Linked DNA regions of Astyanax mexicanus. The protein of the gene in region 1 purifies or fractionates together with the protein of each later gene. This does not show direct contact. Links are inferred from orthologs where the notes say so. Each region holds a gene or a part of one and is shown on either strand. Other genes may lie near its edges. The genes, in order: ap3s1 and ap3b1a.

What was found.
Region 2: the proteins of ap3s1 (region 1) and ap3b1a fractionate together in Homo sapiens (co-fractionation; 5 studies listed by BioGRID and IntAct, counting the BioPlex papers as one, with this or other methods). This does not show direct contact. The link is inferred for Astyanax mexicanus from reciprocal best matches to the Homo sapiens genes AP3S1 and AP3B1.

Annotation. Positions count from the first base shown.
Region 1 is NC_064419.1:37,196,638-37,213,338, reverse strand, and holds the start of ap3s1 (AP-3 complex subunit sigma-1), read left to right. Parts: upstream 1-8,029; 5' UTR 8,030-8,192; coding exon 8,193-8,261; intron 8,262-16,331; coding exon 16,332-16,423; intron 16,424-16,533; coding exon 16,534-16,645; intron 16,646-16,701. Other genes in the region: cdo1 (cysteine dioxygenase type 1), read right to left, coding at 2,102-2,271, 2,708-2,865, 3,742-3,819, 5,436-5,605. UniProt on the Homo sapiens protein: Part of the AP-3 complex, an adaptor-related complex which is not clathrin-associated. The complex is associated with the Golgi region as well as more peripheral structures.
Region 2 is NC_064424.1:24,000,634-24,017,487, reverse strand, and holds the start of ap3b1a (AP-3 complex subunit beta-1), read left to right. Parts: upstream 1-9,680; 5' UTR 9,681-10,618; coding exon 10,619-10,788; intron 10,789-13,353; coding exon 13,354-13,429; intron 13,430-16,257; coding exon 16,258-16,332; intron 16,333-16,854. UniProt on the Homo sapiens protein: Subunit of non-clathrin- and clathrin-associated adaptor protein complex 3 (AP-3) that plays a role in protein sorting in the late-Golgi/trans-Golgi network (TGN) and/or endosomes.

The DNA.
Region 1 (16,701 bases):
GTCGAGATATTAACCCTTCTAGATATTTGTCAGGGCATTGCAAGGCATCAGCAATACTTTTGTTTGCTTAATGCTTTTGCAAACGGCTGTACATCTGTAGGACATTGGGTCCCTGCTCGTTTTAGAGTAGGAAAATCCATTTAACAGTATAGTCTCATTACCTTTTCCTATAGTCTTACATACCAACAAAAGTATATTAGACTTTTCTGAAGCTCCATTCATCAAAACAAGTGTCTGTAGCCCACCGTAAATTACATAAGCATGTGATAAATTCAAAACATTACTTTCACCTGATCACCATGAGCAACAGAGTGACTTCAACAAAAACACCAAACAGAAGATACCGATAGCACACAGACACTTCAACACCTGTTTTATGTCATCAATATAGTGATAATGTTCCAGACAGATACAGATTATGACCCCTGGGTGCAAGAATAGATAATATTTATCAGCTGATCAGACAACAAAAGGATTTCCGAAGAAGAGTTCAAGGGACAGGTAATAATGGGGCAAAATAAATATTTTATCTACCACTCTTTTATTACTGCAGCCAATATGATAACCATACATACAGTACTGAGACTTTTACTGTTATTGTTTAATAACACATTAAGGAGATCTTGAACTTTTCCTCATGCTTGATCATTTACGACATCTGATGATGTTCTGTCTTTATCTAAGATCCGGGGTCTTTAATAGGGATCAGAGCCAGAGAGTGAGATGGCCATTACAGTATATTGACTTTCAGTCCACCACGTGTTGATATGGTGGTCATTATCGTGTAATAAATAAATGCCAGCTGCTACCACAGTGCAGCATGTGGGTAAGGTAGATCAGGTCACTATCTAAAGCAGGTTCATTGGACTCCAGCCCTGCGGACCACAGCAATGCAGACGCAGTGTTTTTTACCTTGACATGAATACAACAATGTTATCTCATTGGCTAATTACCAAGCCCTTTATTGGATGGCTTGTGTACATAAATCAAAGTAAAGCCTAAAGTCTGAAGTGCTATGGCCATTCGCGACCTCAGTTTGGCCTAGAATCAGTGATGCCACTGATCTGATCAGGCTTGAGCAATCCTCTGCTGCTGGCTGTTGAGCATTTTGTCTATTTAACAATAAAGTAGCTCATCTTTTTAGATCAGATGTCTTAAAAGATAGATTTACAGCTTTCTAATTTATATAGGATTAACCATCAGGAGTCTATTCTCTTTTGTTGGTTTAATATTTTGATGAGAAATGGGGTTTATGTGTTATCACCAAAATTCCATCACAAACTAAGGAACACTACCAAGTTGCAAGCAATTTAGCTGAATATATTTATTCTATTTGCATAAGTTAATTTAGTTCATTAGGTAATTTGCTTTTATTTAAAGGGAATGAGTGTTTATGCAGTACTTTGTGTGAATGCTGTGTGGCGCACTGAGAAATCAAACAGTACTCAAACAGAGCCATGAAGCGCCGGTGTTCCAGTGTGCATGTCTCCATGCCATCTAACAGGTTTCAAGCTTTTGCAGCATGTAGGTCATGTGTGGCTTTAAATTACATTGGGAATGTTATTTTCAACTGTAAAACTGGCCTAATCTCACATTAGCTAGTGTAATATATCTTTCTCTTTGGTGGTGGCAATGCTTTTATACTGGCGCTAGCAGAGAGTTATATGCTGAGTGTAGATTTACTGCTATTTTACTGCTACTGCTTTGTCAGTAATGCTTATAGATAGAAAATAGCTATATTTGCTTATTATCATTGTGTTCCCCCTTGCCCTATATTGGACCACTTCACATCAAACCACTGTAAATGACTTTGTAACCATGGGAATGATACAATTGTGCAGTAATTATTGAAATCTGTGGAATTTGATTTTTAAAGTAAGTACATGTTTTTTGCGTCTTTATTCATCTTTAATAGGAATATTATATTATTATATTAATTTTGGACTCAAGTTATTGTTCTTTGTATTTTTGTTTAAAAAGCCTAAAAATCCCATAATATTTACAGAAATATGTCTTTATATGCTATTATTTTTCACAGTTTATGGTATAATATATATATATAATCCAGTGATTTAGTTGTGTACATATTGTTCAGACTTACAAATGGTGTTCTCTCCCCATATTTACTCCAGAACGTCATTTTGACTGTGTTCTTGTGTCCCGTCCGCTGGTCAAAAGTCTGACACTGCTGGAAGGGGGGGCTGTACAGGTGCAGGCTGGCTGCACATTCCGTGTGACTGACGTTCTCTACCCGGTGGAGGCCTATGGAATCTGCAACAGACAGACATTCCAGCAGAGACATTAAAGTCAAGCCGTATTGAGTTCCCCGTCACTGTACAGTCAAGTTTCACACGTAGCAAGTGCTATCATTAAGTCACAGAGTACAGTATCTCTGAATGGAGTGTTTAAATATATATCTCGGTTCATATCTTTAGGGTACTGTTTTTAAGCCTTGATATTTATAAACTGGTAATGCAATATGTAACCTAAATCTGATTAGCTGCCCACATTTAGAGCTACAGACAGTCTGGCTAGTCCTGTTAGGAAAAGAGATATGCTGCCTTAGCACTTTTGTTTGGTGCTTCATTACTAAGGATTAATGGGTTGGTAAGCAGTGACATAGTTAAAAGGATGTACCAATCTGTGCCATTTGGCTCAAAGAGAGCCATTCATTGCAGGCAGTGGAAAGAACATCAAGCACAATTACCGTTGATGTAAGCACACTGGTTTTCCAGCAAGATTCGCTGGGATTTCTGGACCATGTCTCCGTGTGATTTACGGTCAGGCCATTCGAACAGTGTCTCCTTCAGCTGGCCCTGCAGGAGCTTCATGAAGCAGTGTGATTCCGCATGATCGTGGATAGAACTGCAAGTTGCATAAAACAAAAACACTTAGAAAAGACTTAGAAATAACCCAAAAACTTTTACTACTTTTAGAATCCACATAAACCAATGATTAAATGAAAATAAGCTCTGTGAAAAAAAGCAGTGCAGGGGTAGAAGAGTGCAGTTTAATAATAGAATGGCACGACATTTCATGCAAACCTGTAATTTCACTCACGCAAGATTTTTCTTTCTTTTTTTCACTGGTCTAACTGAATGAACTTGTCCGGTTTCTATACATCCCCATGCATTACTTCTCTAAAACAAGTCAATAACATTTTTAAAGTATAGAATTAACCTAAAACGACCATAAAAGGTAAACCTTTCACATCCAGGTTTGTCTGCCTCACAATCAGTTTATTTATGCTTATCAATGTACCAGTTCCATTTATGACCTCATAACTCCCCCAGCACTAGACCATTGAACCTCACTATCTTCAGCTTGCGTGTGTTCATCAGGACAGAATTATTATTCAGTCCAATTTTTTTGAGTTGGTGCAATTGATCATTAACCTTTAACATTAACATTAACGTTTAACATTAACATTAACATTAACCAAGCTCGTCAATATACTTACAGAGCAGGTCTCAACTACGCCCACAAACTACGTCAAAGCAATGTTCTATAGATTACAGAGGGACGTCATTTAGGTTTAAGAAGATAATATAGGATATTATGTTATACAGGAAGGTTAGGAACATTTTAATGTTGTATTTAATGAGTGTATTAAAAATATTTTTAGTTTCCTTAGAACATCTCTCCCATGTTTAGCTTTATGTGAAGCCACTGTTCAGAGTGAAGTTATAAGTGGCTTTTATAGGTCAGTTGCTGTTGATATTATTGGGAGTAACCCCTTACCTGCCGTGGCCTTCACCCCAACAGAGAATCATAAGGTTGAATTTTCCATTTCCCTCATCAACGAGATTCCTGGTATACCTAAACAAAGACATTAGGACATTAAAAATATGTATAAATAAATAAATCTTATATGTCCTTCTAATTTTTAAAAGTGAAACTGTGGATGTTATGTATCTGTATTATTTTTTCATGTTTAAAATATTTGCCCCACCGTTTTCCACAGAGAGGCATAAAAAAGGCAATAAAAAAATCAGGATCAGGACTAAATTATCATCCACAGAAATTAATGTCAGCTAGGTCTGAACATTGTTTATTCATAAAAGTGTTTTTTTATTGATACCAATGCAGAAAAAACACCAGAATATAAAATTACATCATATCTATAGGATTTTTAATTCTGCATAAAACTGCATTTGTTATACTGCAACAAAAAAAAACTATAAATAAAGTTTTCAAGTGTAATTATTATTATTTGTTTACAAATAATTTAATCTTGGATGAAGTAACGGTATGTACTGCAGTGCAGTGCAGTAACCTCCACCTGTGCTAATTCTAGAAGGTGCCATCAACAGCTCGAGCTGTTAATAACGACCTTTAGATTTACAAACATGGCAATGGAACCTGAGTTTCTCAACCCGGAGACCCTGCAATCAATCCATCACATCATTATTACCCACCCGTATTAAGCTTTCTAAACCCCGCCCCCTCTCCGCCACCCCCGCGCTGGGATTGGCTGCTAGCTGTTCTAGAATGCTGGCTAAATTTGCTTATGAATCGTTTATGAATTAGAACTGCCAGCCAATCCCGGCACAGGAGGCGGGGCGTGTCGGAATGCGGGTGGGAAGTAAAATTCCGCCCCCCTCAGTCTAAAAAAATTAGCGGGTGTGGGCCAGAAACTGGACTGTGATTGGCGCCTCCATCCCCACCCTGAGACACCTCCTATTAGAAGTCCTCTCAAAACACTACAGAGAGACCTCGGTGCTGAGGGCGGAGTCAGAGCATCGTCCAGAAAAATAACCTGATTAAAAACAACTATGGGTTATTTTAGAGAAATATTGGGCCCATAAGTAGCTGCAATTCTAAAAAAGAAAAAAAAGTATTTAGTAAAGAGTAACATTTGAAAAATTAAAATAACAAATGATAAAAATATATATTTTCAAAAAATTTATGCACTAATTGCACTGCCAATAATAATTATTATGATACTTATACTTATAATACACTTGGCTCAAATAATAAGTACACTTGTACAACATAACTATTTACTGCTATTTTATCTTTTATCACTGTCCTCCAATTTGCAGTATAACTGTGTACTGTTCTGTTTACTAGCCACGTGCAGTATATATACACATACTGTGTGCAATATTACAACTTTTATTTTTAGCAAAAGCAATTTATTCAATTTATTTATTTATTTCACTTATGTGCAACATCTCTACTTACTACTTAACATCACATACAAACAATATATAGTAGTAAAATGTTTCCTCTTATATTTGACCTAGTTACGTTCATATATTTAATAAAAAGTATTTAATAAAAATAAAAAAATATATACATATATATACAAATGTATGCTTGACATTACTGTCCTTTTCTCTGCACTGCACATTTCCTGCATTTGCTGCATTAATATAGAATTCTATATATATTTTCTTATCTAATAATATTAATAATAAAGTATTGCCTACCTGTATTGGTCAAATTTGGCGAATTTCATCCACTCTTGAGGGTTACTCTCATATGCCTCCATGATGCTCTGCACCTCTTCAATATTGACGTGATCATCTTCAAAGATTTTGTGCAGGATTTTAATAAGATCATCCAGGGTCTCTGGCTTGACTAATTCGGTTTGCTCCATTTTTAGCGCTTCTCCTGTAGATCCGAGCCTGTCTGAATGAGCAGAGCTCACGTTTTATAGATTTTATAGGCAAAACTTTAATGGACGCTACCACTCTGCAGAGAGGGGGGAGCAGTCTTTGGTATCTATTTTAAACAGATATCTGACCAAAATACATTTATGCACGGGTGTTGCGAGCAAAATACGATACAATATTTATAAAAAAACGTTAAAATATATTATAGAGAGATAATATTGAGCAAATTAAATCATAGAAACAGGTCTGGGCTTATTTTGAAGCAGTCTAGTCACCCCTGTGTTTAACACTTGGACTCGCCCTGCCACACATTCTGGTTCTCGTTGTGGAACTGGGCATGTGTTCAACTTTTGGACCAGAAAAAAAGAACGGCTCTGCAGTTGACGCCTTTAATCTCTCTTTTGTTACATTAAAACTTTAACCACTGTGCGTAAAACTGTATGTATATTTATGTTTTAACAACAACATGTTTAAACCTTTTAAAAACCACTGAGCTCTTAGAAACTACCCCCATTCACAGGCAGAGGCTATGAATGGACAATCCGGCAATCCATGAATAAAGATTAGGCTGAGGGGAATGTGCAAAACAATAACATTAGAAAGAGACTAATGTTCAGCTGATAGAAACATTAACGAGCTAAAACACACGATTTAGACCATCTTTCCAAAAAACATGGATATGTGATAGATTCAAGATAGTTTTATAGTTATTAATGGTGAATAATCTCCACTGATATTCATGAATATTAAACATGTGTTAAACTAAGCACCAACTAACTATATGATATATAAGGCGCTTAGCACAAACGAGCACATCAAAAGAAAAATAAGTCCACTGTATTTATGTAATATTTATGAATTTGGACACTTTAAATTTGCCACAGCAACAAAAAAACAGTGAAGGGTTTTTATGCTGAGATTTTTGAGGTATAGTTGACGGTGCTCTCGCGCCATCCCGTGGATAACCAAGCACAGTAAAATTGGTTCTGATGTTTTTTTTCCCAATACAATGCAGTATGTAGCGTACATGTTTTTAAGTATATATATATATATATATATATATATATATATATATATATATATATATATATATATATATATATATATATATATATAAGTATATATATTTTAAGGTTGAGGATGAAAACAAATCATTGGGACCACTATTAAAGTCATTGCCTTTGCAATATATTTACAGTGCATTTGAAAAGTCTTTAGACGCTTTCACATATATCACGTTTTGTTGTGTTACAGCCTTGTGCTAAAATAATAATAAAAAACCTCCAATTATTCCGCAGTCTGCACTTAATGACCCACAATCACAAAGTGAAAACTGATTTTTTTTTTGCTTTGTTAATGAGCTGAAACCCAATTAGAACAGAGGTCAGTTTAAGAAAATGCCTGTTTAACTGTAGGGTATGGGTGAGATAAAGGAACGACATATTCATCTAAGAATAGTCAAATCTTGATGATCCTCCAGCCTGGATTCACTTCCATCAGCACCACAAATATGCTGTACATATATTTGTGTGAAATGGTGGGAGAAGGACGTGTCCATCCCACAATCATATATCTGAACCCAATTTTTTTACGCATATTATAATCTTACTTTCATTTCTGATGACTGGTGCATTTGATTGGGAACACCACAAATGTGCAAAAAGATAAACACTTACATTTTTACGGAAAATATCTGAATTAATGTTGATGCCCAGATACACTGTGTGGGCAAAGTCAGATTAAATTTACTGTATGTTTTAGAGAGACCTAGTAAAATTTGACTGGAACACACTAGGAAGGTTGTATTGAAGCCTTGCAGTATTTATATAAATGATACTTTTATTATAATATGTAGTACAGGATAGGCTTTTTAGGCTTATTCTACAGTATATGGAAATTACCTCAATAAATGTTTGCTGACCTTGATACAGGCTATTGTGCTCGCTTGTATGTTTGTTAATATAAAAATGAACATTAGCAATATTTAAAAAATATTTTAAATATATATATTTAATTTATATTACGTATAAATGTAATAATACTGCTCAGGAAAAAAGATCAGTTTTTCTGATTAACTTAAGTTTTTTTATTTTTTAAACAAATTTTAAATAAAAAAACATATATTAAGGGCATTTATTTGCATAAAATGAGAAACGGACAAAATAATGAGAAAGATTAAGTGCTTTTTAGAAAACAAATTCATATTAATTTAGAAAAAACAATGCTAATATTTGAAATATATATTTATATATTTTTATGTTTAATATATTTATATCCAGCTCTATAAAAAAGAGACCACTTATTTGATTGATTAGGTTAGGTGTGGCTCGTTCTCTACTAGAGTTACACGTGTCTTTTATTTTTGAAATCTACAGTTTCCTGCGGAAGAATCTGGCGTAGTTCACTGCGGTCGCTAACTTCACTAATGTCTGCTACGTATCCCTCCGCCGTGCTGCCAGACTGCCACTGAGTGGCTCTAGTTTCACTCAGGTACACTGGAACACACAGGTGACAGAACGACGTCCGTACCTCAGTCTGTCGGTTTAATACACGGCCTGACAGGATAATAACATGATAAAAGCCATACTGATATTCAACAACCATGGAAAACCCAGGCTGTCCAAATTCTACGAACACTATGTGAGTATGAGTTTCAGTGGGTCTAGCTTAGCCTGCTAGCTGGCTATAGCTAACTGTTGTGTGTGGGTTGAACGTCAGTCCTGGAGCTAGTTTTAGATAGACATTTATTTATGTGATGCTAGTTCGATAATAATATATTTATTTACTATAAATATAACCTACTTTTTGTAGTTACAGTATAAGTAGGTTAGTTAGCTAGCTAGCTAACTAGCTAACGTTACATTTAAAGCTGCAACAGAGTTGCTAGACAGCTAGCTAACTAACGCTAACTAGCATTAGCTAACTAACTAGCTGACTTTCTCAGCTTTAAGGGTGTGTTCTGCAGTGGAATATATTTTAATGTTTTTTTACTCAGTGATTCATTATCAGAGGACATAAACTGAAGATGGAGGGATTACTTGTGTAGACATCAAGCTAATTAACTAGCTAAGAGCCCACTCTGCCTGCTGTGTTTGTTTAGTGTAATCACTAACTTAGCTGCTATTCATAAGTTTGATTAACCTACCTAGATTATAGAATATAAGCATGATTATTTTAGCTTTGCAAACCTTTCCAATTAAGTAGAGTAGACTGATTGTGTTAATACAGCTGTTCAGTGAAGTATTTTGTCTATTTAAGCAGATGAAATACTTAATACTTGCAGCTGGATCAGCAGTATTAAAGTTAGACACTGTTATCAAGATTACTGTTATTGTATTTTTTTTTTTTGCATTGCAAATCCTGTTCATAAAGTATTAAGGCTGATCCTTTTACGTTGGTGAAAAGTGAGCTTGTGTTTCTGAGCTCATTGTCTGCCTATCCTAACTCAGGCTATAGGATTACACAGCAACCAGTATTGGTTTACAGCGTGACTTCGCCTTGTGATCGACTCGTGCTCACTTCACTGACTCTGTTCAGGCCTGTTTAGCAGCTCAATACTCTCCATTCATGCCTTTCTGATCTTCAGCAAGTAACCTACTCATGCAGCATACTGAAGAAAATTTTACTAAATTAAAAATAAATTGGCAATAGTTTTAGGGCTGTATGGTTTTGGAAAAGAACTGACAACAAAGTGCAGGTGTGAAAATGTGAGTGAAAAAAGTGGGTGCAGGTTCCCACTAGTATGCAGAGAAGAATATTTAGTAGAGTAGAATAATACAATAAAATAGAAATTTGCAGTTACTTTACAGTATGTACAGTATACACAATGCACACAATAACAATCCACAAAATAACTTGCACTGTAGATATATAATATTGCATGTATATACGTTAAGTACGACTGAATATATAAATATACGATGCTATGTACATGTGCAGATATCTAGAGTAAGTGTGTGTAAGTGAGGAAATAGTCCAATAGGTGACAGAGTAACTATGAGTAAGTGCAGGTACAGAATGAGTTGTGTGGGGAGTACAGGGTGCAGAATACTGATTGTGGGATAAGTATGGGACTGGGCACTGGTAGGTACAGTGTGAAACAGTGCAACATGGTGCAGGGTGCAAGAGTTGTAAGAGTTGCACGAGTATATTTTGTCTGTGATATATTGTGGTAATATAAAAATATAAGGTCAGCAATCCAATAGAGGTGTGCCAAAAAATCGATTCACATAAGAATCTTGATTCTCATTTACTACGATTCAGAATCGATTTAAAATGTCCCAAAATCGATTCTGAGGGGCGGGTTTTAGACTGATTTTGGGCTGGGTATTTTTGTTGGACCTGGCAACCCTGGGGATAGCGCTTGTCCCTTTGGAGATCTTCCAGACACACACAGAGCGTAGGTGTTTGAGAATCACCGGTAAGATGGCAGAACAAGCACTATATTACCTTAGATTAACGTGTAGTTTCAATGTTTTATGGCAGAATGCTTCATAACAAGCATAAAAAAGATCGCTAGTAGTTAGTTTCAGTAACTGTTAGCTAGCTAACTAGCTAACTTTCCAGTTCCACCTTAAATAACGCTACAGGTGGCAGCGGGCTGCAGCATTTAAGGCGGAACGGAAAAATAACAATAAGCTAATCAGAGCTAATTTCAGCTCCTCATCACAGAGGAATTAAGGAATGGACAATATGAATTAATTTCTCCACCTCCTGCCCCCTTTCTGAAGAAATACAACCACCTTAAATTAACTAGTTAATCAGCAGCTGCTCCTGAACTTTAGCGCTCCACTGCTATCATCACATCAGCCCAGCAGCGTCACCTACACACCACCGCTAGTAGCCTGGTAATAAAGCAGTGTTATTTATTTATGTATTTATTGTTCATTAACGTCATTGTGATATCCCAGTGATTCCTCTGTCACTGAGGACCCACATTCCTGCACATTTTATTGTTTTTGTAACACATTACTTGCTCCAGGACCAGTGTATATTATGGAGGGTTTTTTTTCAATACGATTCATAAGCCAGAAGCAGAAATATTTATAATTCAAATCGTTTTGAATCAAAAATCGATTTTGAATCGAATCGTGGCCCCCAAAATCGGAATCGAATCGAATCGTGAGATAGTAATCGATTCCCACCCCTACAATCCAACATTATAAAACACATTGTGTATCCAATATTGAAGTATAATAAATGATAAATGGCTGATCTAATGTGTTTTTTAAAAATATGATATGTCATGGATAATAAAATCAGTTAGGTGCACAATGATATCGTGTGGCTGGTATCTGTTTTGGCTGATATTTGATTCTTTTTTAAATAATCAGTATTAGCCATTTGGTCGATACAGTGCTACTACTTATTTTGCACTAAATGCATTAAAATATTTCACTCAAATTTTTTGTATAAATTCACAAAGACTACATTGACTGTTTTGCATCACATACCGATTGTGCTTATTACATAGTGAATATGGTTATTTTCCAATATACATTGAACATTATTTTGTTTTGACTAAGAGGAAAGTCAGTACCATGGTTTCCCATCATTTTGCACTTTCACCCACCACCTTTCTGTGACCCACACAAACATGATAATGACCATTTGAAATCTAAATAAAATACAGCACAGTAGGCAATGTAGCCTGTCAAATTAACTGGTTGCCTCAGTATCTTTTGTTGTGAAAGACCCATTTAACCATCTATGCATGATGAGTAAAAACTCAAATACAATAAGACTGAAACATATCTCTCAGACATCCACTAAAATTATTGTTACTAGTTGCTAATGCACCAGTTGAATTTGCTAGTTGTGTGAATGTACTCTGCCAGACCAATCAATGAGCTTGACCCAAATATAATATTTTATTTTTGCAAACATTCATTTAATATTTATCACTTAAATTATTGTTCTTAAAAGGTGATTGTGTTTTTTAGAAGCACATCCATAAGGCTTTTCTGTTTTACTGCATCCCAAAAGTGATTGAGATCTGGTGACTTGGGAAGGCTACAGAAGAACACTGAGCTCATTGACATGTTCGTTAAACCAGTTTGTGATTTTTTTTTATTTATTTATATTTTGGACATGAGGAATTCATCATCCAGGAAGTAACATTGCATGTACTACTTCAGGTGGCCAGCCTGTGTCTGCATGACTAAAAAATTGCACTGCTGCTGCAAGGTTGGCTGGTTTAGAAAATTGCATGACTATATAGATTTTCAGATGTTTCTGCATTTAAGTATCTTCAGACCCAATTTCTGACTACCTTTCTCACCAATATGTGTGCTTCTTTGAGGTGCACCCATTGCTGGTATGGCACAGGCCTTTAGTTGTGCACGAAATGCTGGGAAAATCATCATAGAAAAACATTTTTTAAAGAATGGGACACACATGAGCCTAAAGTCAGCAGACGTCCAGATGGGTCTAAAGCCCCTCAGCCCTGGCTGTGGAACTACATTATCTGGAGTGATGGATTTTCATTCTTCCATTCTTTTGATGAGTTTTTTTCATGAGAGAGGATTTCTCTGACATTGCCACTCACAGCTTAATCATTAGGAGACTAGATCCGGATTTCTGCAAAGCTGCCGTGTTATAAAGTGTGTTGTACGTATAAAATTGTATCAGATTCCAATTGTGAAAATTGCCACTAGGGGTGTTACAGCAACAACTGACTTGCCTTGCACTGCCAGCACAGTAACATAAGACCACATGTTGAGTTTGTACAGCAGGACAGTGTGTTTTTTAAAAAGCTGTTAAGATGACTGTCTGCCGTGTTTTTTGCTAGTAATTAGATCGTATTTGCGTATCCATAACATCATAAACCATAAATCTGCATTGGTTGCTGTGATAAGTTAGGTGTCTGTAACTTTGCCTGTGTTTGAATCGGGAGAAATATTGCTTATTAAGGCAGGATTCTGAGGCAGGAAGGCACCTATGCAGGTCTGAATCGAAGTTTAGTATAGTAGCCTTCTTTTTAATTGGTATGAAATGCTAGCAGCTAATGATAAAACAGCAAAATCTCTTATCTAGCAGAAAACTGTCCATACTTTGGTAACACCTGTATGTATTTTTTTTTCTTTATGAATACAGAGACCTTTGTTTCTACAATGTCTTCCAATAGGAATCAAGTCAGCATACATGTAGCCATGCTGTTGAATCCCTGCCCCTCTGTCGCTTTAGATTTGATGTGGTCATTGCCTGATGTGCGTCAGGAGACACACAATGCACTTTGAGCAGATCTGTACAAATGCATCTTGTAGATACTGTTATGTTTACTCAGTTTTGACATGGCTCAAATGCATCTCCGATCACTTTGAGTCAGATCAAATGAGTTTTTATCTGTTTTTAAGTCTTTTAAGTCTTGGATGACTTTGCACTTTCCCTTGCACTTGCACTTTTAACTGGCTGAAACTCAAGGTGAATTAAGTAACCAGATGTAACTGGGGTCTAATTGTCTGTTGGACAAAGCATTTTAAATGAAAAGCCCTCTAAAAAGCTTTGTTTACTTCTTAATCACAAACTTTGTTGCTGGAATCTCATTAAACAGTCCTGTTTTTGTAATGGAGCCTGATTTGATTTAATAGGCCACTGCTTTGTACTTACAGAGCGTTAATGAAAACAGTGCCAGCTATGGAGACATGATGAGAGCTGATTATACCTGACAGGAAGGGACTGCTGGGATTGCTAATGCTTCTGCATCTTATTCTGTGCTAATGAGAAATGACTGATGACCATATGTGATGTGTTGAAAGAAAAGTCTGCCAGATGAATGATAGACTGCACAGGAAACATGCTGCGGTTTGTGTTGGGATGCTTCTTAGTATGCATTTATTGAGATGTTTTTGTAGGAAGCAGTAAGTATATCACTTTGTTTAGGGTGAAAATGCTCAGATGCAGTTTTACAAACGTATTTACAACCTATAGTTTTATTTGGGCCTACTTGCCATGATATGCAGATAGCTGGATAGCTTCCCACTCTTCTGATTGGCATTCTTTTAGCTTTGTCCATTTTTAAAAGCATGGTGGTGTATGATCCACTTGGATTTCCTGACTGGATTCACCCATAAACAGCTGCATTTGGACTTTTAAGGCTTTGCTTGGTGGGCTTTGCAGGTCACCATAGTTTCGGGATTTTATAATGTTTATTATGCTGAATTTGAAATTATCATTTTAATAAGTTAACTAGAGCAGTGTTTCAGGTTTACAGTACACTATTTCCATGTACAAAACGTACTATTCAACTCTGTCAGGATAAACACAATTTTCTATTACAGGGCCCATTTAAAGTGTTTGTTTGCTTAATACATATACTAAATTTTCCTGATTTATGTGAGCCATACAGAGAGGTCTTTCAAGCAGATCAAGTTTGAGAAGAAGTTTAAGTGGAATGTTTCCACTAAAATGAGTCAGGAGATTTTTTGTAGCCTGCAGTGAGAGATAATTAGATTAACACTGTGTTTTGACCTTTCTCTGGACACCTGGTGCTGTCTATAGTCTCGCACCTCCTATCGCTTTGTTTTAGCAATTATAGAGTATTCTAAACATAGCCATGAGCTGAAAGGGCAAATTGACCTCTTCTGATGAACTGCCAGAAAGTCATTCATAACTCTCTTGACTTACATAAAAATACTCGCATAGATAAATGCTGTACTAATTTACCTTTTAAAAGCAAAGACTATGTAAAAAAAAACATCATCAATCTTCTCTCTGTAAATTCATCCTCAAATCTAAATGATTTTTTTTTAAATCATACCAATTATAGAGTAGGTGATAATCGTTTGTTTAACGCAGTCCACTGTAGGGCTGCAACGATTAGTTGATAGTTGACATTTATTTAAATTTGTCCACTACATATTTCATTGTCGATTAATCGTTAATTTGTAACAGTACTGGATTCCACAAAGTGCTAGGGACAGAAGCACAATGGGAGACGGGTAAATGGCTCACTCACACAGTTTACACTCAACTTAGTCTCTGTCTCCAAAAGTGCCCAAACACAACAGACTACTAGATTATTTAATCACTAAATATCAGTACTTTCCACATTTAAACAACATCCATACATTTAAATGCCTTTTAATTTCATGTTCAGCTGTTTCTCTTGTTTTTAAAGATGGAGGACATGGCAGAAAAAAACGTTGACTAATCGACTAAGCGAAAAAATAATCATCAGATTAGTTGTCTTCCAAAATAATCATTAGTTGCAGCCCTTTTCCACAGATGGCTGTGGCTTTACCAAGAATTGAACCAACAGTCTTATGTTGGAGACTGATGATGAGAGACTCTTACATAGCTGCACCAACTAGGTAATTTTTTTAAAGAAAAGATATTTGATTGGTATCAGGCAGTACTCAAGAATCCAATGTTATTATCAGTACCAGCAAAAAAAAAAAACGAGTCTAGTGGTTTGTTAATTTGTTAGTATTGTAAAAGTATTCATATCCATCAGCTGTTACATTTAAGTTAGAAATAGCTTTTAAATGTTACCTTTTAAATGTTACCTTTTACTTGTTACCAAAGCAATACACTGCTAAAACATAACGAGTGCTGGTCTTTAAAATTAATGTATTTTAAAGATGTTTTCTCATTGAATACTGCGGACATTAGTGCCTGGGTTGCAGCATTCCAGCCTTATCACCTGACATTGGAATGATATTTGAGTTTCTCACTTGAATGTTAGTATGACACCATGCCAGCAGGCAGGGCACCTTAAAACTGCCTGGAACTTGCAATCTTTCTCTGACTGCTGGGAAATGCACTGTCAGGACAGTGTATTTAAATTGTTTCTGCTTTTATTTAGCACTTTTTTGAGTCTGGAATAATAAACAACTGCAGGCAATTTCTGTAATAAGTGTTATAAGTGTTACAGGCCATTAGTGGGCCTTTCCTGTAGTGATTAGTATAAACTTCCACGTTCCTGTGTTGCAATTATTTTGCACATAGACATTTCTAATGGTAACAGCAGCATGCAGAATATTTTTTTGGGTGTACACTAGGGCTGGGTGATATGACTGAAAATGCCTCAGTGTGTTTAGGAAAAATGTCCATATATAGTACTGTATGATATGATGAAAATCCTTAACAAAGCATATCGTTAAATCATCAGTATTGATCTGTAACACCAAAAACACAGCATGCTGTATATTTAAATAATGCATATTTGTGTAATTGTGTAAGACATTTGCACAGTAGGGGTGGAAATCACAGGGCAACACATAATACAATATTATCACGATACTTGGCCCATGATAACCATGGTATCACGATACTGTGATTCTGCAATGCTTGATCCAGCACAAGACAATTCTCTATGGTACTTCACAGCATCCGTGTTACTGAAGATAATAAAACACTCCAAAATAAGCAAATACCAGGAATGATTGATGGATACTTTAGTTCTGTTTGGTTTTAGTGATATTCAGACTTCCACCTTGTCCTATGTATGTTTTTAGCAATATATTTATTTATTTTTTTATTCAGGTTTTTATGTGTTAAAACACTATTTTAAAAATGATGACTGCAGTGCCTGCATTTGCACTCAAACAAAGCAGATCATTTAATGACAGTGTAGTGGTTTAAATATATATTAATTAATTCATTTATTCAAAGATCCACATCTTCCCTTTAAACAATAAAAATATTAAAAGTTTAATACTGACATGCGGATGCTGTTCTAACGTTACGTTCCTTTCATCTTTCCCCCAGACTGAAGACACAGAACAGCAGATCATTAGGGAAACGTTTCATCTGGTTTCAAAGCGAGACGAGAACGTCTGCAATTTCCTGGAGGGTGGAATGTAAGGAAGACTACGTTTTAATAAGCATGTTTTTAATGATCATGTATGGTAATTAGCCCATCAAAAGGCTTCCATTGTTAAATGAATATATATTTTCTGTGTGCTCTCAGGTTGATAGGTGGATCAGACAACAAGCTGATCTACAGACACTATGCCACATTGTACTTTGTCTTCTGTGTAGACTCCTCAGAAAGTGAACTTGGCATTCTAGATTTAATCCAGGTACTTTATTTTTGTATGAATTCAGGTGCTTTCATTTTGTATTATACCACTACTTT
Region 2 (16,854 bases), on another chromosome or scaffold:
TGTTAAGCTCACCTGTTTTGTCTTCTGTATGTATCCTGAGTGTGGAAATGGGAATGAGGGGATTGTGGTGGGCAGGGTAGGAGCCTACATCCAACACAGAGCATAAAATATTTAATGGTCCTTTAAATAGGTTCAAAAGACAATGGGGGGGGGGGGGGGGGTCTACATTTAACTGTATACAAGGTTTACAATATTATGCAGTCTAAATTCATTAAGTTTTAGCCTACTCTCTGTTCCGTAAGCATTGATAGACAAGATTTACTTTAAAACCAGCATGAATTACACAGAGAGAAAGAGAGAGTTAAAAGCTTGACCCCCATACCTCCAATAATACCTCCACCCATACCTCCATCCATCCACACACAGCCCGGCTGATGGTAGTGTCACTTACTGCATCACATAAACAACCAACTCTATCGGCTAATGGGATATGGCTGTCTTGTTTTTCAAGAAAACACTACTTGTGGTACACTGAACATGTGTGTGTGTGTGTGTGTGTGTGTGTGTGACCGGGCATGATTTCCAGTCTCCATCTCTGAGCCAAACACTCTCAACGTCGTCTGCCAAGACTAGCAGAAACATATCTGGGTTTGTTTCTCAATGGGAAATCACGTCTCTCTGTATTTTCCTCCTGTTCTCTGGGTTACAGACACGCAGAGTGTGTCTATGTGTGTACATGTGTGTATATATGTGTGTGCGTGTGTATGTATGTGTGTGTTTGATTAACATGAAACTGCTGCTGACATTGCGAAACATGAATCCGGTAATGGCATCTCAGTTTCAGAGGGAAGATCAGGCAGTTCTGCTGATTTTCCACTTTTTTTTATATTTATTACTGATAATATTTTACAACCTACAGACATTACACACAAACACATACATATCTATAATGCATATGGTGCATTTGTTTTATTTCTTACTATCTATTATATATTAGTGAACGACCGATATGGGTTTTTTGATGGCCGATGCTGATGCCGATATTTAGACAGAAGAATGGCCGATGGCAGTTAAACAGTTATTTAACAGTTTCTTTGCTCTTTCTGCAGTTCAATTAAAATAAAAAGCACAAAGCAAAATAAAAACATACTTAACATACACAACCAGATAGTAGCATCACTATGTTTTTGAGAATGAATAAAAAAAGAATAACACTCTTAGTGAAGACAGTAGCAAACTGAAGAAGTTAGATTTCTGTCCAGCCATCTAAAATTATTAAAACAGCAAAGTATAGGGTAAGTAAAACAAACAAACAAAAAAAAACCCAAAAGACAGGTCATGTATAATTGCGTTATTCTATGCACATTACAATTCAATATACATTTAGAAAAACACATGTGTGCAACCTTCACACAGTGCTAAACCTAAACGCACCAAAATACTCATCAATAAACCACGCAAGCATCTTGATTGGTCAGAGCTGTCTGGCTCGGGAGCAAGAAAGAAAATATAGCGAAAAAATGTTGTGTTCCAGCATGTATATTTGTGCAGTGTAATGCTGCTTTAATATAGAAAGCTGAACATTTGCGAGCAGTCAACGCAGCATAGACCATGCGTGTAAACAGCATGAAGTAGCAGCAGCGATTGTTCATAGCTGTGGTAATTTGTTTTATCTGTCTATTATATCAGATTAAACTGCACCCTATCAGCAACACCTATTTTGCTCAAATAAAATAACTATATTTGATAGCTGGGTTTGATCGAGACTCGCTCCTGTTTTCATGAGTTGCACTATAGGGTAAGTGAACCAGAGTCAAATATTGCTGGTTTGAAAGCACCCTTTATTTGTAAAGTGGAGCAGCCATGGGTCTAATACGTTATTCCGGCACCCCCACAGGAAAATGTAGCACAGATGAGGACCAGGCCACCATCTTCCATCTATTCAAGGTCCAGTTTTAATGCTTGCATGTCCCCTGCTGGCCACAGTAAATGGGGTCAGTATGGGCACTTTGCTGGTCTACAGGTACGTAGTCCCAAGACCTTTATATGCTAACTCATACACAGCCAAAATGTGTTTCAATGAAGGTGCATGTGTGTGAGTGTGTTTGTGGCAAATACCCTGTGGTTTGCTGTGGAGACACTAGGCCTCAGGCCAAAGCATCCAAAGCTCTGACCCAGGGTCAGCCTGACCGCTGTGTTTTCTGACCCTACTGAAATGTAAACAGTTACTAAAACTGACCCGATACCCCTGATTCCACATACACACAGAACTTTATAACCCCCCCGGCACTGCAGACAGACATCTGCACACACACACACACACACACACACACACACACACACACACACACACACACACACACACACACACACACACACACACACACACGTACAAACACTGGAGCAGTTTAAAGGCCAGAGCAGTGTGTTAAAAGTTTAAAGAGTGACTCTTCACCTCTCTAAAGCTTTAAAGCAGAAAAGTCATCCTGAGGTCAGTCAAACATGTCAACACCAAGAGACCAGGGGTAGGTTAGGGAACCCTATCTCTCTCTCTCTCTCTCTCTCTCTCTCTCTCTCTCTCTCTCTCTTTTATCACCGTCATCTCCGTAACAGCTCTTTGTGGCCCTCTGGTGGTTAAAACTGTAAATTACTTATTTCTTTTTCATTTTTCAGCAATATTTAAAGAAGAGTAACAACAAACAGTAACACTACCAGCCATGTTTTAGAACACCCCCAGTGTTTAGCTGTTCAGTAGCAGTGCCGTGTGGCCCAAACAATCTGCTTTTTTCATTTTTCATCTTTGCAATGACTTTACAACTGCACTTTACCTGTCCGACCTCTCAGACGTTTTAAAGTTTTAAAGCTTAGCTAAATGTGTTGCCATATGGGTCAGCCAGACCTTTTTCCGTTTATACATTTCATAGTTGCAGAGCTATTTGTGTTTTTGTGTAAAAGTGTGAATGTGCTTAGTGTACTGTTTTACATTTTAAGGACAACTGACATTTTTTTAATTAAATTCCAAAGCTAAGTTTATTTTAATTGCTACTTACCAGTTGTAAGCTTTTAACCAATGAATTATTTGCCAAAAAGCATCTCCTCTTTTTTAAACATTATATGTTTGTTTTTTTTTTTACTGCAAAATTGTGCACACTGGATTTTTTACCATTTACAATACTAACAATGCTAATCTGGACAGTGCTAACAGTAATAGCTGATATCTGAGGTCAATGAAAAGCAGCATTATAAACACTCAGATATCAAATGCACGTAACATAAAAACATATACTATTAAGATCTTAATGTAGATCTGGAGAAAAATCAGATAACTGTACTGTGTGTTTCTGATGAAGTGGACACCGGGTGGAAGGCATTTCTCAAGACCCTGGATCAGCTGTGATTTACAATACGGCCTAAGGTGGTGCTGTTACATATAAAGCTATAGCTCCATCTGCTGGACCAGTCATATATTTTTTTATGTGTTCAATCCCAAATGTTTCCTAGCTCACTACATAGTGCACTGCATGTGTGTAAAACAGTCAGTCAGAGCACAATATATCAACTATATTTAAACATTCAAATATTTAAGAAATGTGTGTGACGTTATTGTGCACTTTGTAAGAGGTGGGGAGTAATTTGGGACACAGCCTTATTTTTTTAACACAGTCAGAAATAAAATGTGTGTTGATATTATATATTTATGAGTGCTTAAATAATAACAACAAGTCAGATAACAGGGCTGTGTATTAGGTAGCTACTCACATATTAAGCGGTAAAGTGAGAGAGGAATGTGAAGCATTGTGATTCAACACAACACAACAAAACGATTTTCTGTCAAAATAAAAGTCCCCCTAATATAAAATACAATTCTGTTTTAGTCTGTAAATGAAATACTATGAACTAGTCTGATTATATATAGAGTAAAAAAAACTAATACATTTTTTGAGACTTATAAACACATAAAATAATGTAGATAAAAAAAGAAAAAGTAAGAAATTGTTGAGTTTCACAGTTTTGAGCTGACACTTTATGATAACATTCTGACTCTTTAATAACTCTTTAATAAAAGTAACATTATAAAGAAACATATATTTATTTCAGCCACTGACAGCATGTTTTTTACTAGGTGAATAGTAAAAATCAGGAGATTTCTGAGGTTTAACTGTAATACCTGTACTAAAACTAGTGTTGCTGGGTAATACAGTTTTGCGCTGGCACTTTTTCAATATATTTTGATTCAGGAGACATAACTTTTTAATAAAAGTAATATTATAAAGAAAAATATATTTCTTTCAGCCACTGACAGCATGTTTTATAAAACACGAATAGTAAAAAAACAGCGGATTTTAGAGGTTTGTCGGTACTAAAACTAGTCAGGTGACTCGGGCTGGGGCGTCACACTGCTGTCATGTGACTTAAACTTCTCCAACTCATACTTCCGGTTGCGTGTGGAAGAAGGAGGAAAAAAAACTTCCACAGGAAAAGTTCTTCTTTCGGTTTGATTATTTTATAAAATCGACTTTAATTATAGTTTAATTGAGAGCGGCTTCATCAGACCCTGTGCTCCTTCTCAGTGCACAGCTCGCTTTATCACAGCTGGAGAATATCAGCGGACATGTCGGCCAACAGCCTGTCTTACAATGATCAGGGAGGCGCGGAGGCAGCTGTGGAAGCGGGGCAGGAGAACACCCCGACCACCTCCACCGGGGGAGCCGCCTTCAGCCTGTTCAGCGCGGACTTTAAGAAGTGGGTGCATGTAGAGTTCTGTGTAGTTAAATGAGCTGATGATAACGTGAATGGAGGATGTGTGCGTGTGTGTTTTTTCTGCTGCCTGTTGCTGCTGACATGCGCAGTGTCTGTCTGTGTATGTGTGGTTAGCTTATCTATTAGTAAACTAGGTTAACTTAGTTTTAGTTGTATATTTTCTTTGCTTCTGTCTTGTTATAGCTTTTTTATTTTGTCACTATTTGATCAAATTAAATAAAGTGTTAATTTTACAGTTTCCAGCGCTTTCAGTGATTTAGTTCGCTACACATCGGCTTTATTCGATGTATAAATCATGTGCGCGAACTGTAGTGAGAGTGGATGAGAGAGGATGATTTGTAGATCAGCGATTCTGCGCTGCGTTAAAGCTGATGCTGCTGAGGTACGTGGTGTTGTTGTTCCTATTACAGGTGGGCGGGTCTGTTCTCCCAGAAACAATTCTGAACTTTTTTTTCTTTACATTAAAATATAAAAGTTGGTCAGTTTTTTTTAGCAGAACAAAACTCTCAACAGGCTTAATAAAACATTAATTTAAACCTTTCAATGTATTGCTTGCATACAGTTGGTTTAAACCTAAAATACAAGCTTAATATTGTATTTATTTCTAAAGTTAGCCATATGTTTTAATTAAAACAATTGAAAGCTAAGCTTAGTTTAATTAAACACCCAAATTAACAGTTTTTTCGAAAGAGATATGTGTGTAGAGTAATATCCTGGACTCAAGAACATCCCAAGATGCATGAAAACTGTAATTAAAAACCAAGGTTGTTCCACCAAATATTGATTTCTGAACTCTTAAAACTTTATGAATATGAACTTATTTTCTTTGCATTATTTGAAGTCTGAAACCTCTGCATCTTTTTTGTTATTTTAGCCATTTCTCATTTTCTGCAAATAAATGCTCTAAATGACCATATTTTTATTTGGAATTTGGGAGAAATGTTGCCGTAGTTTATAGAAGAAAACAGCAGTGTTCCTTTTACTCACACAAATACCTTTTAAATAGCAAAATCAGAGAAACTGATTCAGAAATTTAGACAATTAGTTCTGATGCTCCAGCTCATCCCAAAAGTACTGTTTGGAGCTTCATCTTCATCGTCACTCCAGAGAACCCAACAGCCATGGTTGGCCTTAGGCTAATGTGTGGCTGAATGCTTGAGTGTTTTATTATACTGGAGAGTTATAAGGGGTTTAATCAGATTGGTATTGTTGGGCTGCAGTTACATTTTTGCTTGTGTATTCACGCTGCTTGTCAAAAGCACTATTCACACTGGATTTGTCTATCAGGGCTGTTATTGGTATTGACCCTGTGCTATCATTAGCTTTTCTGACTTTATCTTCTTCTTGCTAATGTTCTCCCAGTGTAGAGGAAATGGTGTAAAAATGTATTGTTATCATGTGTACATTTGTTTAATACTGGTATTGGAAAAATGCATTTAATATGGCCTCTGATAAATTTGACATTGCTATCTGAAAACAGGTGGGGGAAAAACACAGGCCCACCATAGTTGTAAGTTTAGCAATGTGCTCTGTACAAATCAGGCAAAGGCAAAGCCACTAAATGGAATTAGCAGTCTGCAATGTGAGCCTCAAAACACTCCTAAGGTAATTTACTTGACTGTGTGCACGTGTTTTAAGCTTTATCTTCTACACTTTTGTGTTTTGATCCTAGAACATGGTCTGTACTGTGGTATTAACTGTTAGCATGTTACTTGTTATGTAGCTAACTAACTAAGACTTCACTCTCTCAGACAGTTAAGTTCTTATAATCAGTTCTTAGGTTAGTTAGTCAAAAACAGCTGTACTGGACTCTGACTCTGATACTCTGTGTATCTGTACTGGAGGCTAGTTTAGCTAGATAGCTTCAGAACCAAACCAAAACAACCAAAAACAAACAAACTAACACTCATTTCTGTGTTCTGTCTGCTCAGTCGCTCTATCTTTCTTGTCTAAACGTTTATATAAGTGGAGTTTCAGTCAGACTTGAGTGAGTTCTGTGGTAAACAGAATGTTAGCGACCATGCTAGCTAAATAAATCCTCTAATTATGTGTGCTAAACATGTTTTAATCTTCAGACTGAGGGTTGAACATTTACTGTATGACTGACTTAAGTGTTTATTTAGTCTGTAAACAAACTGAACTTTTGTATTTGATCATTTTTAGGTTTAAAAATAACTCAGTCCCACCAATTTGTTACTGTTTCAGTCAGGGTGCATCAGATATTCGGCAACCCAAATTATTCAGAATTCCAAACAATTTGGTCGAAAAATGGCAAAAAAACGGGTGAAAAAGTTTTGATTATTTAGATTTATTCCAAACAGTGATTTTTTTTTAAGATAAAATCAAATCACAACCAACTGGGATGTTAAATATGTTTGACGTTCAATAAATATTTTTAATTGGTTATTTTGTGCTTATTTTGTAATTTCTTTGAAAAGGCATGTATACAAAAGCTATTTCATTTCTGCAGTGGTAAAAAAGTGGCAAATAGTAATTGGGTTTTTGACCCAAAACAGATTTTTTTATTGCATCCCTAGTTTTGTTTTTATTTTATTATTATAGCATGTTTTATTAAGGCAGCTTTGTGTAAGGTTTTGGTATTGACATATAACACCATGTAAATATTTCATAATGCATAGTAAACATGTTTATAAATTGTTATGCATTTTTATACATACTTATAGCCATGATTGTTAATAACATGTTTATGGAGCCTAATGGACATGACATTTATAGGCAGTGTTACTATAAAATGGTTAAAAAGAGCTTCACCTCATGTGCAGCTTTATTTATTTATTTATTTATTTATTTATTTAATTATTTTCAAAATGGAGAAATTTTACCTGTGCACACACACTTCCATAATATACTGTTTCAAGCTTTAACTGACCAGCAGGGGGAACTGCCTAGCCGCTATAGTGGATAAAGGCCAGACTGAGGTCACATCATCAGTGCTCAGTATTGCTGATGCAGGCTTATTTTCACTCACTCGCACCCTGCTGGCACTGAGCTACAGTTTACCTTTCCTTTCTAACACTGGAATGTGATCTGGAACACAGTCAGGCAGTCTCTGACTGAGTCAGTAATATGAGAATAGTAATCGCTTACAGTTCTGCATGAATGGTTTGTAGGCCAGACTTTGTCGGTATTGCAGGAAGGATACACTGGTTAGTTTTAATCTGTTAAAATTTAGTTATATCTGCAATATAGTGGCAGTGTATTAACCCTATGAACTTTATTTTATTATTATTTTTTTTTATTTTCTCTATTTTTTTCCCCCAGTATAGCTAGGCAGATTGTCTAATCCGTTTAGCTGCTAAAGAGCTGCATATCCCCCATCGCTAGTGATTCCACAACACAAGGAGGGTGAGGACTATAACATGCCTTCTCTGACACGTGAAGTCAGCCATCGCCTCTTTTTTTAAACTGCTGCTGATGCAGCATTTCTGAGTAGCATCACAGTGCACTCGGAGGAAAGCGCAGCGACTCTGTTCCGATACATCAGCTCACAGATGCCTTGTGCTGATTGACATCACCCTAGGAGTGATGAGGGCAATGAGCACCATCTACCCACCCAGAGAGAGCAATGCCCATTATGCTCTTTTAGGGCTCCTGCAGCTAATGGCAAGCTGCGTGACCGGGATTTGAACCAGCAATCTCCCGATGTCCCGAGCTTTTAAGACTTGTGATTAGATGTAGAACGTATTAAGCATTGTGTTTTAAAGCTTTCGTATCATAGAAGACATATTACACGGGGCAAAGCATTCAGGAACAACATTTAAGAATTTCAGTAGCTTTGTACAGATTACTTAAGAAAAAAAACAACATAGATTATAGATTCCTTTGAAGTTGGCCAGTATAAATGTGGTATAGTTGCTAGTGTGTAGTAGACATATAGTAAATGGTGACTGTGTGAGTGTTGGTATGTTATGTTCTGTGGTATTAGTGGTATGTGTTAGCAGGAATTTGGAGAGGGGGTCGAAGGGGGGGGCTGGTGCTAAAGTGTGAGTGAGATGTACTGAGTGTGTGTGTTTATGTGTGTGTATGGTTATGTGATTAGGGTTTGTGTGTGTGTGTGTGTGTGTAGTATTAATGTTATTTGGCTCTAAGCGAATCAGCAGGCTTTCGTTCACATGACTGAGGACTGAAGCCAGTATTTAGAAGTGCCATTTGAGTACAGCCAACATACACACATTACACATATTACACACACATTTTTTACTGTAGTCAAAAAGAGATATTATATCAAATTATAAGCAACTTTAAAGAAAAAGTGAGTAGTGGCCACAAAATTATTTCGGCAGCTGCTTTATGTTTTTATTAAGTTTCAAAAAAGTCTATACTTCTGATAACAAGACAGCAGTCAGCCTTGGCTGGGTTAGAGCGATTTAGCTGCGATCATGTCTGTTTCTCTGAGCTGGATTACTCCCTGAATTGATGACCTACTGGAGTCCCAGTGTGAGCTCAGCCTTTACACCTGTGGTTATAAGAAGCACTTCTGGCTACTGAAAAGAATTGTAGAGACAACACTGTAGTATGAACTAAAATAACTTTTTTCTTTTTCTTTCCTTATCATTGTTTTGTATAAATTATTCTAGCCTTTTCCTTATTCACAATATTTTCCATACATCCCTAAGCGGAATGCATTCATTAGAACCACTAGAATGGCTACAAACATTAAGAAGTATGGAAATCTATTTTGTTTCTAGAGCAAATATCTGCCATCTCTGATTGAAATGAGACATCCCAGATTTTGTTGACCATTTTTGAGAAATGGTCAACAACTGGAAAGTACTGGCTTCAAGTATTGAATTTAGCGAGTGGTACAGTGGGTTGTTGGCCATTGTGTTGAAGAGGAAAGTGTTGGAGAGGAAAGTGTTGCTTGCTGGGTTTGGCCCTTATCAAGCACCTACAGGGCTTCTGGGACGGGCTTGCCACAGGAAGAGCTGGAGGTTTGCGCTGTGAAGGTGATGAAAGACTGGCAGTGTTTATTCACTGTAGATTAGAGCTTCCACGCTTCCCTTGGATCTATTAAGAAGAAAGCCCTGCCTTGGGGGAAGGATCTTGGTTCCAGTGGAACAGGACTGTCGCCTGTGTGTGTTTGTTTGTTCTGTGGATACTGTCGCTCTTGAGGACAACGATTAAAGAAAGAGTTTACAGAGTTAATGCTTAACAGGAAACCAGCCAAAGTGAAGTTTATGTGCAAGGAGTGCCGGGCTTATTGCGAGCTTTGTCGAGCGATCCGTAGGGAGTAACGGCTTGGTGGTCACTTTGTTTCGGAAGCAAGGGACCATTCCTGTCACCCCTGCAGAAGGAACCTGAAGGTCAGCTTCACTGTGGAGAGGATTGGAGCTTGAACAGGAGGTTTAAAAGTTTGAAAAGGACCTCTGTTGCACTCGTGGTGTGTAATTGATAAGGAGTGATGGGACAGCACTGGGCTGGAACTGTTTCACGTGGTTCCTAAGCTTATGAGAGATTAAATAAGTGAGTGCGAGTGAGTGACTAAGTGAGTGAGTGAGTGGGCATCTCTGCTGTCTTGGTACTTATCAGGATTTAGGAGGCCAGCAGTGGACACGGTACAACTTGGAGAAGAACTTCATTGGTGAAGCTTCAGCTGGGATTTTATCCAAAGTTCCATGCCATAGCTTGGATTTTAGCTCTGGGATTTACTGTGAAAATTAGGTTTCTTGGGAATCCCTGGCCTCCACTGCTGTCGATCATTCGTGACCTTGGGTGGACTACATTTCTGTTCCCTGTTCTTGTTGGAACTGGTGGATTGTCAGGTTGTCACCTTCACTGGTGACCGCAGGAAAGGTCTTGGGTGGTAGTCCTGATCCTGAATGGTTCAGTTGAAGCTCAAGTTGGACCAGTAGTTTCCAAGGGATTCTCTGAAAGCAAGCTTTCTTTTTGAGTCGTGATGAACGGGGGTTTGTTCAGCCTGCGCTCTGAGGCCGCAGGAGTCGTCCGGACAGTGCTGGTTTCCGCGGAGAATCTCCAGCTCACCTTGAGGTCAGACATCAGCCAGGAGGAACAAGCCTTCAGCAACCACCAGCACTATGGAGACTCTGAGGAGACCAAAAGCAAAGGGTACTATTGACTACACACTTGTCAAGTTCTGGATGCTAGGTTCTACAGTCCATTTTTGGGTTGTAGTCCATTGTAATGATTAAGCAATCATTGGGGGAAATAAGTTGCAAATAAGTGTTTTGTGTTTGGGCTGTTACTTTTAACAATAAGGGTGTATTTAATATAAGATCTGCTACTGATATTGATCCAGCACTGGTATCCACCAATACTTACATGGAAGGTCTACAGTATATACCACTATTCAAAAGCTTGAAACCACATTTCAGGTTAAAATTTTCTCCTGTTTTATATAGTGGCAGGATATAGTGCAGGATTTTTGAAATTCATCTAATATAATGCTATGATTTTCTAAGGGTATTTTCACAACTGTAGTTTGTTTCTCTGATCTGAATCTGTTGAGTTTGTTTACTTGTGGAGAATTTTCTGTCTGTTTGGTTTGTTTTTACACAGGCACAAAAGTAAAGTAAAGTAAGCTGTCTCCTCTGAGCTGTTTTGATCATAGCTGTAGTAATTATCTAGGTAATAAATCAGGTTATACTGAACCTGAACAGCCTTTTTGCTTAGACATGAGAAATATTTAATAGTTGGGTCAGATTTTTCATTTTTCACCTCAAAATAACCCTTTGAAGTTTGTTAAGGTCCGACACACCTCTTCTTTGTGCAGTTTGTTTTGGTCTTGTTTCAGTGCGATTACTGTTTTCACACATGCTGAAACGAACCAGAGTCTGTTTTAACTAGAGATGGACCGATCAGTGTTTTTGGGGCCGATTCCGATCGCCGATTGCCTTTCACCACGATTGGCAGATTGCCGATATCGATATTGGGTGGAACCAAATGCCACATTAATGCCACACAGGTGCCAGGCAAACCTGGTACAGATTCCTCTAATTACATCCATGCCTAAGCAAACACTGGTAATTTACGCTGCTAGTAAATAAACACAAGAGTGTTACTGACCAAAAGAAACACTTATATATAAGGGTATGGGAGAGTGATGCGAAAGAAGCAATTTCTGCAAGCACGCCACAAACAAAGTTACAAACAAGTTATGCATGAAGTTCAAAGCACACCTCAGGCGACTCTGTTTGTGGCGTGCTTGCAGAAATGGCTTCTTTCGCATCACTCTCCCATACAGCTTCTCCTTGTGCAAAGTGTGCTGTTTTGTTGACCGATGCACAGTGACACCATCTGCAGCAAGTGAGATGCTGCAGCTCTTTGGAGGTGGTCTGTGGATTGTCCTTGACTGTTCTCACCATTCTTCTTCTCTGCCTTTCTGATGTTTTTCTTGGCCTGCCACTTCTGGGCTTAACAAGAACTGTCCCTGTGGTCTTCCATTTCCTTACTATGTTTCTCACAGTGGAAACTGACAGGTTAAATCTCTGAGAAATCTCTGTATCCGTCCCCTGAACAACTATGTTGAAAAATCTTTGTTTTTAGATCATTTGAGAGTTGTTTTGATGAGCCCATAATGCCACTCTTCAGAGGAGATTCAAATAGGAGAACAACTTGCAATTGGCCACCTTAAATACCTTTTCTCATGATTGGATACACCTGGCTATGAAGTTCAAAGCTCAATGAGGTTACTAAACCAATTTTGTGCTTCAGTAAGTCAGTAAAAAGTAGTTAGGAGTATTCAAATCAATAAAATTATAAGTGTGCACATACTTTTGCACCGGTCAAGTTTTGGTTTAATGCATATTGCACATTTTTTGTTAGTACAATAAACCTCATTTCAATCCTGAAATATTACTGTGTCCATCAGTTATTAGATATATCAAACTGAAATGGCTGTTGCAAACACCCAAATATTTAGAACTAAAAATGATTAAGATTAATAGGGGTGCCCAAACTTTTTCATATGACTGTAGTCATGCACGAAGGTCTCGCACCACCACCCCTCCCTCAGCGTCTCACACTCAGCCCCAGGTCACTGCACATCAGGCGAGGGGCTGCACAGGCCGTCTCGTGGCAGCTGATCAAGCCTGAAACAAAGGCCCTGTTCTTCTGAACCTTTCGCTTAGCAGACAGTCACACTTTAAACATATGAACACCAGCACAGGGCGAACGGCATGTACTCTGACCGAGCTTTCTCTCTATCTCTCTCCCTCTGTTGCCGATTGGAGTGTGTAGTGTGGAGTGTTTCGCCTCTATCATACATCTTCCTTCTGGAACTCTGGATCCTGTAGTTCTTTTTTTTTTTTTCGTTAACTGTAGTTCATTGTGTTTGGAGCGGCTCCTTTTGAGGCTGTTAGTCGTAATCGTTGGACATGGTCAGTGTGTGGGGCTACGGACCGTGTGGGGTATATCGGCTTAGCAGCCCCAAGCAGAGGTGTGTGTCGGTGTGTGTGTGTTTGTGTGTTGGAAGTACAGTACCTAAGCAACCCACTTGATTAAATCTGGCCCTGAAGCGAATCGAGCGTGTCAATGAATCAAAGTTGGGGTGAATCGGTGTGAAATGAATCTGTCTGCCAGGGGAAGTGTGTAGGTGTGTGTGTGCGCACTCAGGAGTGTGTGTCAGATGGGTTTGAGTGTGAAATGAATCAGGCTGAATTGAATCTTTTTCAGGAACGAGGATCTGAAGGAGATGTTGGAGAGCACCAAGGAGTCCCTCAAGCTGGAGGCCATGAAGAGGGTGGTGGGGGTAAGTGTGTGTTTGTGTTTGTTTGTTTTAGTTTGTGTGTGTGTTTGTGTGTGTGTTTGTGTGTGTGTTTGTGTGTGTGTGTGTGTTTGTGTGTGTGTGTGTGTGTTTGTGTGTGTGTGTGTTTGTGTGTGTGTGTGTGTTTGTGTGTGTGTGTTTGTGTGTGTGTGTGTTTGTGTGTGTGTGTGTTTGTGTGTGTGTGTGTGTGTGTGTGTTTGTGTGTGTGTGTTTGTGTGTGTGTGTGTTTGTGTGTGTGTGTGTTTGTGTGTGTGTGTGTTTGTGTGTGTGTTTGTGTGTGTTATGTTACTGTAACAATGCCATTGTTAATAGAAGTGGATTTAGCACAACAGTCTTGTTTTAATTTTTTTTTTCTTCCTTAAATTCACATTTTTCCTATACACTAAAGATATTTAAGAAAAATATAAGATGATTGATATGAATTTTAGCTTATATTTATGGATATTTACATATCCGTGCAAAGTTAAACAATGTACATCATTGAAGCTTCGATTTAAGATCACCTATTTTCTTTTAGATCAGCAAAAGAATTTTAAGAGAGACTGTTTTGAAGCAAATTAAAGGCTTTGGTGTTTTACATGGCCATAAACATTTCCCTGTTCAAGCCATGACACTACCTCCACCATGTTTGACAGATGAGCTTGTATGTTTTGGCTCATGTGCAGATGCTTGAATCTTTTTTTTTCACATTTTCTATTGCTTTAGCCTTTTTATTCTTTAGGGGAGTGCAGACTGCTACTGACTGAATTTATTCCAGGCACACCATATGGATTATGTTTACTCCTCTACATGTATGGATGGCTGTGCATGTATTTGTACATGCATACTGTATGTTCTAGGGGTGTAACATAGTTTACATTAGTTGTCATGGTTTGGTATTATCCTGTACCACAGATCAGTTAGGAAAATAAATAGGTGAATGAATTAATTTGTAAGTAAAGTGTAAATGTATTACTTCGTAATTTGCACACAATGTTAACTACCATATTTTTCACACTATAAGGCACACTTAAAATACTTGAATTTTCCCAAAAATCATCAGTGCGCCTTATGTATGAATTTTACCAGTCTGGTATTAAGGAGCAGTAAAGCCACTCTGCTGAAGTACAGAGTTATACAGGAGTTTCAGTTTAGTTCTCCAGCACCAAGGCTTGAGCCATATTAGCATTAGTCACTAACCACTAAGACATTAAGCGTTAGCGTTATCGACCTGTAGCCTGCTGCTATTCTCGGCTCGCACTGCTGAAACAGAATTAGCATTAGCCGTTAACCGCACTAAGCGTTAGCTCTTTTGCCATTTAGAGGCGATTATAGCGGACTGTAGCCTGCATTGTTACCATGTTAAAACAAGGTACATGGAACGAACCACTAGCTAATATCGCCCTGACTTACTGGAACGCTGTCGGGCGACATTTACTAGCGCTAACTGCGGCTAGAGCAAGCGGTTAGCCGCTAATGCTAATGCTTTTGCACCCAGCTTTAGTGGAAATCTAGACCTCTTAGCTTACTGTAAATAAACAGAAGTGCTTTATTCACCCAAATAAACAGTTTTGAGAAGAGAAATCTCTGTAGATTAACAACCAGTGCTCGTTTAACTTTAAGGGTTTTTTTGGGTTTTTTTTTAAGAATTAGAGTTTTGCTTGCTTTAGCTTAGCTTTTCTTAACTTAGTTTCCAAATGAGAGACCTGCTGAATTAGAAAGAAAACATGGTGACACCCCTGTTCCTTACTAGTGTCGTATAATGCGCCTTATAATCCAGTGCGCCTCTGTATAAAAATAGACCAGAAAATAGATGTTTATTGATAGTGCACCTTAAAGTGCAAAAAAATTGGTACCAAGGGTTTAACAGACCATGGATAATCCGTGATCCACAAAGATCAGTTGTTGTGGTTTGGTACTAATGTAAACCACGGATCTAAGTCTTGATGCAGTGGTCAAATCAAATCAAACAAGACCGGAGGACCTTTTTATGTCAAACATACAATGTGCCACATTATCAGAAGGTGTGTCCAAACTGGTACTGTAAGTTCTGTTGCCCTGACCACAGACAGCTGGACTTACGGCCGAGTGGGAGACACCCCCTTTTTCGTATAATCTGCTTAAATGATCTGCAACATACAACTCCTGTTGTTAAACATGGTGGTGGTAGTGTCATGGCCTGAGCTTGTATGGCTTGGGCTTGTATGACTGCATCTAGAACAGGGGTAAAGTTCATGGCCATGTGAGCCATGAAAGCCTTTCATTTGCTTCAAATTAGTTTTTCTTACAATAGTTTTGCTCTCCTAAAAAATGAGATGGTCTTTCATCAAAGCTTCTATTTTCTACATTGTTTAACACCTCTAGTTGTATGGTACTGTGCTTTGCTCAAAACAGAAATGCCATCAAAAGAGTTGGGCTATGAGGTTTGCGTTAATCAATGTATATTCAAACCAGGATGCTGTGTGAAGGAACTTTTAGTGAATGTGTGTAATGGAGTAATAGTGTGTGTATGTTTAACAATGGTAATTGTTGTGTGTATGTATACACACACACACACACACACACACATATATATACACACACATATACACACACACACAGTGGTTGATGAATGACAGCCTGCCTGACTAAGTGATTCATTGGCATGGCAAGCAACAAGCCATAACCCACAGTGAACTTAAACTATTAATTTATTAAGCTCTTGCAGTCAATTTGAGCTCGTTAGGCTGCTGGGCTTTGATCGGCTCGTGCTGCTGGAGAACGGGGTGATTTGTAAGCATTTCCAGACGTTCCCGTCCAATTTCAGCTCTGACTTTCTGCTTGTTTTTACTCAGCTGATTGCGAGAGGGAAAAACGCCTCAGAACTGTTCCCTGCTGTGGTGAAGAACGTTGCAAGCAAAAACATTGAGGTAAGTGAGGTGTACTTACATACATGAATGAAGTTAGCCAGTTTTAAATTAGGTTTAAAATTACTGCACACCTGGAAGAAGTTCCAGGAACACACAGAAATCTGAAATATATGACCAATGTATGCATATAAAGTACAAAGCATTTTCCATATGTTTAAGGAACATTTAAGGATTATATTTTCTATAAGAACACACATCATGACCAGGATTCATCTTCACATATTATTAAGAAATAAGCAGAGCTTCAGCCAGTATTTTCTTATTTGAACTGTGTGGGGCATCTGTGTGGCTTCCGAACCTGCACATCACCATTCACCCAGTCCCATTTCCACACTCGGGTTTGCCAGGTAAAGAACACAACAACACACAAACAGTGAGCTGCAACCATGGAAATGGGAATGCTGGCTATTTTTCTTCCTAACAGCTAATCCCTGAGCTATAGTAAGGTTTGCTAATAAAGCTAACAGAGCTATATAATATCTACATGATTGTTTTTAATCTGAAAACAGTAAAATCATTGCA